Nothobranchius furzeri: one gene and its partners. The main gene of each other region encodes a partner of the protein of the gene in region 2 in a complex. Links are inferred from orthologs where the notes say so. Each region holds a gene or a part of one and is shown on either strand. Other genes may lie near its edges. The genes, in order: ciao2a, mms19 and ciao1.

The links.
Region 1: mms19 (region 2) and ciao2a share a complex: the UniProt entries of both Homo sapiens proteins name them as parts of the CIA complex. The link is inferred for Nothobranchius furzeri from reciprocal best matches to the Homo sapiens genes MMS19 and CIAO2A.
Region 3: mms19 (region 2) and ciao1 share a complex: the UniProt entries of both Homo sapiens proteins name them as parts of the MMXD complex. The link is inferred for Nothobranchius furzeri from reciprocal best matches to the Homo sapiens genes MMS19 and CIAO1.

The regions. Positions count from the first base shown.
Region 1 is NC_091744.1:55,351,705-55,355,360, forward strand, and holds the end of ciao2a (cytosolic iron-sulfur assembly component 2A), read left to right. Parts: intron 1-2,617; coding exon 2,618-2,718; 3' UTR 2,719-3,131; downstream 3,132-3,656. UniProt on the Homo sapiens protein: Component of the cytosolic iron-sulfur protein assembly (CIA) complex, a multiprotein complex that mediates the incorporation of iron-sulfur cluster into extramitochondrial Fe/S proteins.
Region 2 is NC_091756.1:28,167,403-28,171,058, forward strand, and holds part of mms19 (MMS19 nucleotide excision repair protein homolog), read right to left. Parts: coding exon 3,623-3,656; intron 3,520-3,622; coding exon 3,442-3,519; intron 1,876-3,441; coding exon 1,737-1,875; intron 1,637-1,736; coding exon 1,482-1,636; intron 1,405-1,481; coding exon 1,326-1,404; intron 88-1,325; coding exon 1-87. UniProt on the Homo sapiens protein: Key component of the cytosolic iron-sulfur protein assembly (CIA) complex, a multiprotein complex that mediates the incorporation of iron-sulfur cluster into apoproteins specifically involved in DNA metabolism and genomic integrity.
Region 3 is NC_091757.1:37,107,894-37,111,910, forward strand, and holds ciao1 (probable cytosolic iron-sulfur protein assembly protein ciao1), read right to left. Parts: upstream 2,482-4,017; 5' UTR 2,245-2,481; coding exon 2,106-2,244; intron 1,979-2,105; coding exon 1,830-1,978; intron 1,746-1,829; coding exon 1,634-1,745; intron 1,557-1,633; coding exon 1,468-1,556; intron 1,392-1,467; coding exon 1,196-1,391; intron 1,116-1,195; coding exon 1,046-1,115; intron 977-1,045; coding exon 745-976; 3' UTR 545-744; downstream 1-544. Other genes in the region: snrnp200 (U5 small nuclear ribonucleoprotein 200 kDa helicase), read left to right, coding at 1-111; tmem127 (transmembrane protein 127), read left to right, coding at 3,207-3,444, 3,541-3,705, 3,779-4,017. UniProt on the Homo sapiens protein: Key component of the cytosolic iron-sulfur protein assembly (CIA) complex, a multiprotein complex that mediates the incorporation of iron-sulfur cluster into extramitochondrial Fe/S proteins.

The DNA of each region.
Region 1 (3,656 bases), on a different chromosome or scaffold from region 2:
TAGAGGATTTACGGTATATGTATATACATATACGGTATGCTTGAGTCAAATACAGGCCCGGGCCTGTATTAGAGGATTTACGGTATATGTATATACATATACGGTGAATATGTGTATATATATATGTATATGTATGTATATATGTATATATGTATATACATATATATACACATATTCATATATATATATATATATATATATATATATACATATATATATATATATATATATATATATATATATATATACATATATATATATATCACGATAAGAGTCGTCTCAAGGCACTTCACATAATAAGCATTCCAATTCAGGTCAGTTCTTTAAGCCTATGAGAAATAATGTTTCGTATATAAGGAACCCAGCAAATTGCATCAAGTCACTGACTAGTGTCAGTGACTATACAGCAATCCTCATACTAAGCAAACATAAAGCGACAGTGGAGAGGAAAACTATATATATACATGTATATATATATATATATATATATATATATATATATATATATATATATATATATATATATATATATATATATATATATATACAGTTGTGGTCAGAAGTTTACATACACTTGTAAAAAATATAATATAATGGCTCTACTGAGTGTCCCGTTATTTCTAAAACTGATTTTTCTCTGATGGAGTGATTGGAACAGATACTTCTTTGTCACAAAAAACATTCATGATGTTTGGTTCTTTAATGTCTTTATTATGGGTTAACAGAGAAAAGTGATCACATTTGCTGGGTCACAAATATACATACAGCAACATGAACTAGCAATTTTGGTGACAGAAACGTGTCAGTGAACTGAGCTTCATAGCATGGCCTCTTAACTTCTTGTGAGTGATTATGAGTGACTACAGCTGGTGACTTCTCTTAGGCCAGGTAAATAGGGCTCATTGGATACAAACGCCCACAAACGCTACAATGGGAAATTCAAAGGAGCTCAGCATGGATCTGAAAAAGCGAATTATTGACTTGAACAAGTCAGGAAAGTCACTTGGGGCCATTTCAAAGCAGCTGCAGGTCCCAAGAGCAACAGTGCAAACAATTGTTTGTAAGTATAAGGTGCATGGCACTGTTTCATCACTGCCAAGATCAGGAAGAAAACGCAAGCTATCACCTGCTGCTGAGAGAAAATTGGTCAGGAGGGTAAAGAGTGAACCAAGAATCACCAAAAAGCAGATCTGCCAAGAATTAGAAGCTGCTGGAACACAGGTGTCATTGTCCACAGTCAAACGTGTTTTGCATCTCCATGGACTGAGAGGCTGCCGTGCAAGAAGGAAGCCCTTGCTCCAAAAGCGGCACCTTAAGGCTCGACTGAAGTTTGCTGCTGATCACATGGACAAAGGTAAGACCTTCTGGAGGAAAGTTCTGTGGTCAGACGAAACAAAAATCGAGCTTTTTGGCCACAATGCCCAGCAATATGTTTGGAGGAGAAAAGGTGAGGCCTTTAACCCCAAGAACACAATGCCTACAGTCAAGCATGGTGGTGGGAATATTATGCTGTGGGGCTGTTTTGCTGCCAATGGAACTGGTGCTTTACAGAGAGTAAATGGGATAATGAAGAAGGAGGATTACCATCACATTCTTCAACATAACCTAAAATCATCAGCACGAAGGTTGGGTCTTGGGCGCAGTTGGGTGTTCCAACAGGACAATGACCCCAAACACACATCAAAAGTGGTAAAGGAATGGCTAAATCAGGCTAGAATAAGGGTTTTAGAATGGCCTTCCCAAAGTCCTGACTTAAACCCCATTGAAAACATGTGGACAGTGCTGAAGAAACAAGTCCATGTCAGAAAGCCATCAAATTTAACTGAACTTCACCAATTCTGTCAAGAGGAGTGGTCAAAGATTCAACCAGAAGCTTGCCAGAAGCTTGTGGATGGCTACCAAAAGCGCCTAATTGAAGTGAAAATGGCTAAGAGACATGTAACCAAATATTAGCACTGCTGTATGTATATTTGTGACCCAGCAAATGTGATCACTTTTCTCTGTTAACCCATAATAAAGACATTAAAGAACCAAACTTCATGAATGTTTTTTGTGACAAAGAAGTATCTGTTCCAATCACTCTATCAGAGAAAAATCAGAGTTTTAGAAATAACGGGACACTCAGTAGAGCCATTATATTATATTTTTTACAAGTGTATGTAAACTTCTGACCACAACTGTATGTATATGTGTATATATATATGTATATACATATACATACATATTTATATATGTAGATATGTATATATATATATACATATATATAAATGTATATACATATACACACATATATATATAAATGTACATATAAATGTACATATATATGTAGATATGTATATATATATATATATTATATGTTATATATAAAACAAAACAATAAATTCATGACTCCGCATTGGTTTCAAACACATGTATTAGAGTTTTGCTGCTACCACCACTTCCCCTCTCAGGCTGCCCCACAGCCACGCCCCCTCCCGCCTTGCTGGCTCCTTGAAAACAACTTTGTTTTTTAACTCTGCTAGCCCAGCTGATTCAGCAGTTTGTTTGTGTTACTGATTTTTTGGTGCTTTTTCACTAGTCTCATGTTCTGAGTGGTGAAAATGATTAATTTCTCCAGTTAATAAACAGATCAACGATAAGGAGCGGGTGGCAGCCGCCATGGAAAACCCCAACCTGAGAGAGATTGTGGAGCAGTGTGTCACTGAACCTGATGACTGAAGGGCCCAATGCTACATCAATAACTTTTTTAAGTGCGTGTGCATGAGTGAACACATGGAGGAGGTTGGATGCTGGAATCAAGTCCAGCCTTTAAAGACAGCAGCACCAGTTGTTGCTGGTGAACAGCCTGGTGTTCCAGAAGAAGGTGAATAAAGGAAGAAGAGAACACACCTCCTGCTCTACTTTTATCTCTCAACTTTCTCTCCATCATTCCTGCTGTTCACCATTCATGTTTAATCAGAACAGAATAAAAATGGCTGTTTTTCATTGCATTGACTCCTATTAGATCTTTTGTAATTCCTCAGGTGATTACCTCTAATTTGATTTCAGAGTCTGGATGTTTAGGATGGGGTTTTATAAACAGAAATGAAATGCAAATAAACTCAGAATAAAATAATCAGGTTTGAATATAATCCTGTCTCCTGTGTATTTGAATCAGAGTAAGTGTTTCAGCAGTGCTTCCTACAGATAAAACGTTATTTTGCACACATCTTAGGTTTATTTATTAAGCACTTTTAAGTGCTTCTCAGACAAGAACAATAAAACTGATACAATGATCTTAGAAATAACTATCTCACACACACCCATTAACATCACTCTTAACCATATAAAACAATATAACATTAATGTCAACATATATTTTCTCTGAGTGCACACACAAACACTGATTATACCTCCACAGTAATATTTCATACAGGTCACACGAGCTGTAATGAGCTTTTAACTATCAAGTACAAAATGATACCAGCCAGGTTTTAGTTTGTGTACCACTCTTCAAAAAGCTGATTTGGATTGGCTGCATGTGTCACTGTAGCATCACTTGATCTCTACATTTATGGGATGCAGTGTGTTGATGGATAAAATAATGGGCAGATGAGATGTGTGTCCCATCTCATACAGACCCCAAATAAAAGAAGGTGGTATGAGACTGACTCCAG
Region 2 (3,656 bases):
TGATCTGCAGACTGGAATTACTCTCGGAGAGAGCAGAAAACACCATGCTGCAAAGAGCAGCTCTGTACGCTGACAGCACACTCTCATCTACAAACACCAGAGATGGGTACAAGTTATGTGCATCTTTATACAGACCACTAGCCATGGACGTAATCTGGGGGGGGGGGGGGGGGGGGGGGGAGATGGGCCCCCCCCCCCCCCCCACTTTTTCCAAAGTCAAGTTTTGACCCCTGCACTTTTTACCATCCAAAAATATTATATATATATATATTATATTAAATTGACACTGGTTGAGCTCTAGGACCAAGCGGAAAACAACCGTTTGTGTTGAAGCCTGTTTCCCATTAGAGCATACTGTAGATACACTCCCCCGTGTCCCCCCACCTCTAAAGTGAAAATTACATCCATGCCACTGGTGTGAGATGGCTGAGCCTGATCATGCGATTTAAGTCCCATCAATCCCTGGAAGATGTCCATGTTTCTGAACTGATTTAAATATAAGAACAGATTTTGTTCATTTTAACACTAAAAGGTTTTTAACACGCTAAACCATTGCTTTCAAACTGGTTGCAGTGGTACTTTAGCCACAAACTTCAGCCACATCACATCAGACAGCCTTCTGCTGACCAGAACCAGCAGAACCCGTTTAATGGGTCAGGCTGGAACACTAGTGGGAGGTCTCTATCTGCCGTTATGGCAATAACAGTTTACTGTTGGCATCATGGAGGACCCTGAAAGTAAAAGTAAGAGAGCAAAAATGTCTTTGGAGCTGAAGCAAAGAGCTAAAACCAGAGTGAACTTTGGTGCAGCCTACGCTAGTCTGAGGGAGCTAAAGGAGGCTACGACATCACGGACTGATGGTGACCTGGCTTTGTTGCTAATGGACTTGTAAATCATAATATTTTTTGTCCAACAGGGTGGATCTTTTACTTTGTGGCTCACTTAGTGTTAGCTCGTTGTTGCAGCAGGGTTGACTAGTGCATCCAAAACTGATCCTCCTTTATGGGAGCGAGCAGTAACTCTTCAGTTACTTGATCAACATTATTGCTCAGATCTTTCTCCACAATTACAGCTCTATTGGAGATGCACTCTTTTTGGGTCTGTACAAATACATCGATTTGACAATAAAAAGGTGGGAGGGGTGGAAATATGCCTGAATAATAATCACACTGCAATCCTCTGACCTATAATCAAAGTGAATCACGAGGTGCTGAAAGAGTAAATCTAGTGATTACTTTGTGAAAATTCAAGAGTCTTATCAGTGTTTGTTATTTGAATGAAATAAACTCGGTTTCAACTTTAAATCAGAGGAATGATGAACTCACCGGTATCTGAAGACGTGTTTGTTTTCACTGACTTGATGAATCGTTGCACCACTTCCAACAACGTACGTCTATGAGAACACTGTTAAGAGAAGCTTATGACTCAGTAACCATGACAACAGCAAAGCTCTACACATGACTACGGATTCTCGGTCTGACCTGTGTTCTGCTGTTGTACTGCTCGATGAGAGAGGGCATGACAGCAGCTGTTATGATGTGGCTCGCCCTGTTGGAGGCGCTGCAGGCAGCCTGTAGCAGCTTGGCACTGGGCCATACCAGCTTCAGGTCGGGCTCGCACAGATGATGTTTACAGTCTGGGAAAATGTCACAAAGATGTTTGCACTGCTGTTAATTAGACGGTTTTAATGAAACCCTGCCTGTAAAAGGAGCCTTCGTTTTAAAGAACTGGTTCACCTGTTAGAACCAGATCCAGGAGGGTGATGAGGGTGTCTTCAGAATCAGAGTTCACCACTGAGCGAGACAGACAGGAAGTGAGTGCGGTGAGAGCGGTGAGGGCTGCTGACTCGATCTTCTCACTGGATGTCTGAAACACCTGCAGGCAGGAAACGGAGACGGGGCTGTACTGAGAGCACACACACCAGTGAAGAGGCTGGGTTTCACAGTAACGTCTCTATTTAGCCCCATTCCCACCTGTACCGGGTCGGCCCGGGCCGGGTAGCCCCAGTCGGCCCCAGCCTGGCCCGGTTGATTCCACACATCCTTGCCTTAAGCCCATGTGGGCTGATTCTACCCACCAATCAGAGGCTTGCTCTAATGGAAGGTGTGAATTTGCTGTCAGCAGTGGGCGTGTTGGCCCTGGTCGGCCTGAAGCAGTACCCCTCGGGAAGAGGGCCGAGAATGAGCCTTGGTTGGCCCGGGAAAATTCCAGGCCACCCAGATATGTAAACAACCTATGCTACCCGGCCCGGGCCGACCCGGTACAGGTGGGAATGGGGCTTTTGTTTCTGTTTATGAAATTTTATAATTTTATGTTTTCTGATGTCAATCTATTTCTGTTTTGAGATCATTATGATTTTATGACTTTGTTTTATGTGAAGCACACTTTGTGTTTCTATGTCTGTGATGAGTGCTATATATAAAAAAAATGTACTTACTTACTATTTATGGCACAGTCTGGTTTAGGGCTGGGCAATTTGGCCTAAAATCAACATCACCATATATCGTCACGTGCATTATGTTGAGTCACATTTTTACATGACTCAAGGTGGTACAGCATCTTAAAGGGACATTGCCAACCTACACACACCTTTTTCATTTTTTATTATCATTATTATTGTGGAAAAAACGATCATGATAAAAGTCGAAATTTTGATAATGATAAATATTGAATTTATTGCCCAGCCCCCGTCTGGTTGGATGGCAGCGTGAAAAATCATCTAAAACTCAATTTTGTGTTTACTCAGGTTGTCTTTGACACTGAAATGTGTTTGCTGATCTGAAACTTTTATGTGGGACAAAAAGGGAAAAAAAATAAATATGTGAGAGGTTAAATTATAGTTTTTGCAGCATTGAATGGGTGGAAAAAAAGGGTTGTTCACCGGGCCTTTCCACCAGACGTGTAAGCGTCACGCAACGTCAGCGAAGTGTAGTACGAAGCAATTAGCCGCTGTTATAGTGGATGGGTGTTTCCACCGGCCGCAAAGCGTCCCAGAAATGCTGTGAATACTTCAATTTTTTTTATACACTACGCTTCCAGAACATGTCAAGCTCAGCAGTTCAGATCGGGTCAGACAGGAAGTTGAACAAAAGCAGGGTAAAACATCCAGAAACTTTCAAAATAAAAGTCACTTGCAGATTTTCAGTTGATCAACTAGTAAAAGTACGTCATTACCTGTAACACCTCCAAAGCTGAGGCAAACAGGAAATAAACCACAGACCTTTTCGGATACATGCTGCCATCTATCTGAAATCTAATGTGTGGTTTTGCAATTTCCGGTCCTTCAGTGACTTTGCGGACCATTTGTGTGGAGCTCTTTTGCTGCTGTTTGCACCTGAAACACTCCCAGTAGGAAAGGTGCTCATGGCTAAAATGGTTATGCATCCATTGGAAAGCCAGGGTTAAACTAAAACGGCTCAAACTTTGTAAAACACTACAGACCTCTCTGCGCAGTGACGTCCACAGTCCCTGGAGGAATTCAGCCAAGTCTCTGTGATCATATTTTGACCCGCAAGCAGCCTGAAACAGATCAAATATAAAGAGATGACAAATCATCATAAAAGTCACATTTCATCTTACTTTAGCTTATTCTTCTCTAAGCTGCGGCTGTAGTCAGTCTCACAAGAGTCTGCAGTGAATCCAGCTTTGCACTCTGA
Region 3 (4,017 bases), on a different chromosome or scaffold from region 2:
CACTACACCCTGTACTTCATGAGTGATGCGTACATGGGTTGTGACCAGGAGTACAAGTTCAGTGTGGATGTGAAGGAGGCCGACAGCGAGGGAGAAAGTGACTCAGACTAAGTTTTACTGAATACTGTGTTGTCTCCATTTGAGAGGGAATCAATGGGTGTGTTGTAGATATTCAACCTGATTTGTTTCTTTGAATTTAAACTTCTCACTTTTGCCCAAAGTATGTCAGTTTTTTTTAGTGACCCGATTGATGAAACAGTCCAAAATTGGTGTGCAGGATCTGTTTTCCGTATTAAAAATGAAATGCATGTTTTGGATTCAGCTGGATCCACTGACAATACTGCTTTAAATATGGGAAGCATAATTTTGTACTTTTCTTGTCAGGTTTGCTTTTTAAAATAAAAGATGCAACAATTTGGTTTCAGATTATGTCTAAAGTTACATTGCAGATGTAAAATGGTTTTCCCTAGATTAGTAAACATGTTTTTAAGAATCTATTGTCTGGCATGTTCTTTTCTTTTTATTAAAATGAAACCACACAGTCTTGTGTTTTTGTATTTATTCATAAACATGTTTGATTAAGCCATTTTTAAAAAGTGTACAAGATGAGCTGCAGCGGTTTTCCGATCACAAAAATTAAAACGAGATTAATCAAGCCATGAAATAACAGATGTGGTGCCTTAAAGATAAAGTTCCCAGTATGAGATCTAAAACCAAAAGCACTTCGGTGCATTTGTCACTGAATCAGTCTTCTTTGAACCTCCAAATGGCAAGTTCTCCATTGTCGCTGCAGGAGGCAAGAATTCCAGCTTCTTTCGGGTTCCAGGAAGCACAGTTAACGTCCTGGTTGTGAGCTTTGGTTACCTGAGCAACCAGCGAGAATACAGGTTCTTCTGGATTAGAGGTCACGTCCTCTCTGAAAACTCGAACTGCGTCGTCACCGCAGGCAGTTGCCAGGGCGCCAGTCAGCGGACACCTGAACAAATGGTGTTTAAGTCAGTTTGAAGGTAATTCATTCAGATCACTGATAGAAGTTCAGTCTTACCAGGACACATCATACACTGTTCGTCCATGATACCCAGACAGAGTGCAAACACACTTCCAGGACGTGTCACCTTTCAACATACAGAGCAGGTAAAAAAAAGGATTTGTTTGTAAATAAATGGCTTCGGTGTTACTGTTCATAACTACTGACCACTCTCAGAGGGATATTCTTTCCAAATCTTCACAGTGCGATCATCGCTGCAGGACGCCATCCTCTGTCCAGTTGCATCAAAGCACAAACTCCAGACGGTGGAGGTGTGTCCTTCCAAAGTAGCGCGACATTCCCAGTCATCGTCTTCTTCCTTGTAAATACAAATGTTGTTGTCGTAGCTGGCCGAAGCCAGGAGCTGAGGAAACAGACAATAACCTCAAAAATGAGAATGGAGCTACAGATGGAGATAATGTCTACAGATCTGAGTCTACCTCTCGGGTCGGGTGCCACGCTACATGCTTAACATCTTGTGTGTGAGAGTTTAGAACTGTGACACACTCATACTCATCTTCTTCATCCACTGTGGGACAGAGGGAAAACACCTATTAACCAGATCTGATCAAATTGTATTTATTACATGTGTAAATAAACACAAACCTTCCCAGATCCAAACGCTTTTGTCTCGACTGCATGTGGCCAGGAGGTTCCCTGATGGAGCCCACGCCACACATTTGACCTCATTTTCATGTCCCTCCAACACTGTCAAACTCTATAAAGACATTTACAAATGTGTCAAGTTCACGGTTAAATGCTTTTTTAATCACACCACTGAACAACAGAGGTCTCATCTAACCTCAAAACCCTCGTTATTCTTCTTCCAGATGCATGTAGTTGCATCAAAGCTGGCAGAGGCCAAATAATTTCCACATGGAGACCAGGCCACTTTCCTCACGGTGCGCTGGTGTCCATCCTCCAGCACACTCTTACAAACCCAGGAGTCTCCTACGGATAGAGGGGGTCACCGAGGTCAATAGATTAATTATTTTACCAACAGATAACTAATAATCAGAGTGTGTGTGTGTGTGTGTGTGTGTGTGTGTGTAAGAGAGAGAAAGAGATGACAGGCTACCTTCGCGTCCCCAGATCCGGATGGCCTTGTCCCCGCCACACGAAGCCAGCAGAGTCCCGTTTGGGCTCCAAGCGACAAACCAACACCGAGAGTCCGGGTGTGCGCTGAGCCTGTGAAGCAGCGTGAGAGTCTCCTTCATACTGACTTAATGACTATTAAATATTTAGTTAACAGGTCTCGTCACTTTTGTCTTTTCCTTCCCAGAAAAATCCGATAAGAAACTCAAACAAAACCCATCAAAGCAGCAGAGCCACTATCACTATTAACATATTTTGAGAAGATAAGGAATTAACTTGCAATAAAGAGCAAATTAAAGAAGTTCATAGAAACATCCACAACTGACGTGCCGCCATCTTTGCTTATCGGAAGTGCACACTGTGGGCTTCCGTCTTCCTTTAAAAACAAACTTAAATATATTTTTTTTAAATAAACGGAAACAAATTCAGTTGTCGTAATAAAATATATAATTATTCATAAAAAAAGCGAGATTTATGTATAAGATTTAAAGTCTATGGTAAATGCAGAGAAGTTTTCATCGTTGTGTAGTTTTTTTAACCGGTAGGTGGGGCTAGTGATCACAGGTTCTACTGTAGCTACGACGAAACCCGGTGGAAACAGGAAGTCAATGCTTTAGAGGAAACCAGCGTAAGCTGTCTTTTGTTTTGTTTTCTGTTTGTTTTTCTGTAACTAAAACAATATATTTTTATTTATTGTTGTTGTAAAGATTGGGTTCTAGGTTGGCGTTTATATGTTTTTTTTGTATTCGTTTTAATCCTGTCATAAGAATTTATTATATTTGACGTTTACTGCGAATTAGCTAATCGGGCTAACAGTACAGCTAACAGGCCTGAAGGCCATCTGTCTTTTGTTTCCTCGTCAGCCAGATCCTGTTTTTTTATCGAGCAGCTGGTTCTCGTACGGAAGTATTGTATATCTTTCATCTAACAAGTCGCCTGGACCGCTATCATCCTTTAACACTACAGGTAAAATCAGCTGTACCGACTGACAGCTGTGTCAGGCGGCTAATCCCAGTTATAAACCTTAAGGAAAAGGACAGACAAGGGAACCAACACTTCCTACAAAAACAGAGATTTGGTAATCATGTATGCTCCGCCGGGCTCTACCGTACCTGGTGGCCGGAGAAGAAGAACTGCCACCTCCCTGCCCAAGCAGCCGGAGCGCAGCCTGGTGTCAGCGCTGCCCGGAGCTTTGTCCATCACAGCGCTGTGTACGGCTCTGGCTGAGCCGGCCTGGGTGCGTGTTCATGGGGGCGCCTGTCCCAGGCAGGAGCTGGGGGTTGCGGATGTCTTGGGTTACATTGATCCAAAGCTTCTAGATGGTGAGAACCTGCACAATTACTTTACAACCAGCAATTATCGATCATTGTTTTGACTCGTAATGGTTTTTGTTTGTTTTGACGTTTCTGTATCCTCAGATTACTGTGTGAACCCGCAGACCATCCTGCTGTTGAGGGTCATAGCTGCCTTTTGTTTCCTGGGCATCCTATGCAGTCTAACTGCTTTTCTGTTAGATGTGTTTGGACCGAAACACCCTGCCCTAAAGATCACTCGTAGATATGCATTTGCCCATATACTCACAGGTACAAACCTTTCATTTACACACAAAACATTTTGCATATTTACCTGTGCTAACAGACTTCCTTTTCCTTCTAGTGTTGCAGTGTGCCACAGTCATAGGCTTTTGCTACTGGGCCTCAGAGCTGATCTTGTCCCTTCAGCAGCAGCACAAGAAGTACCACGGTTCACTTATATATGTCACTTTTGCTATCAGCTTCTACCTGGTGGCAGGTGCGGGTGGAGCATCCATCCTCGCCACAGCTGCAAACCTTCTTCGCCACTACCCCACTGAAGAGGAAGAGCAGGCCTTAGAGCTGCTCTCTGAGATGGAGGAT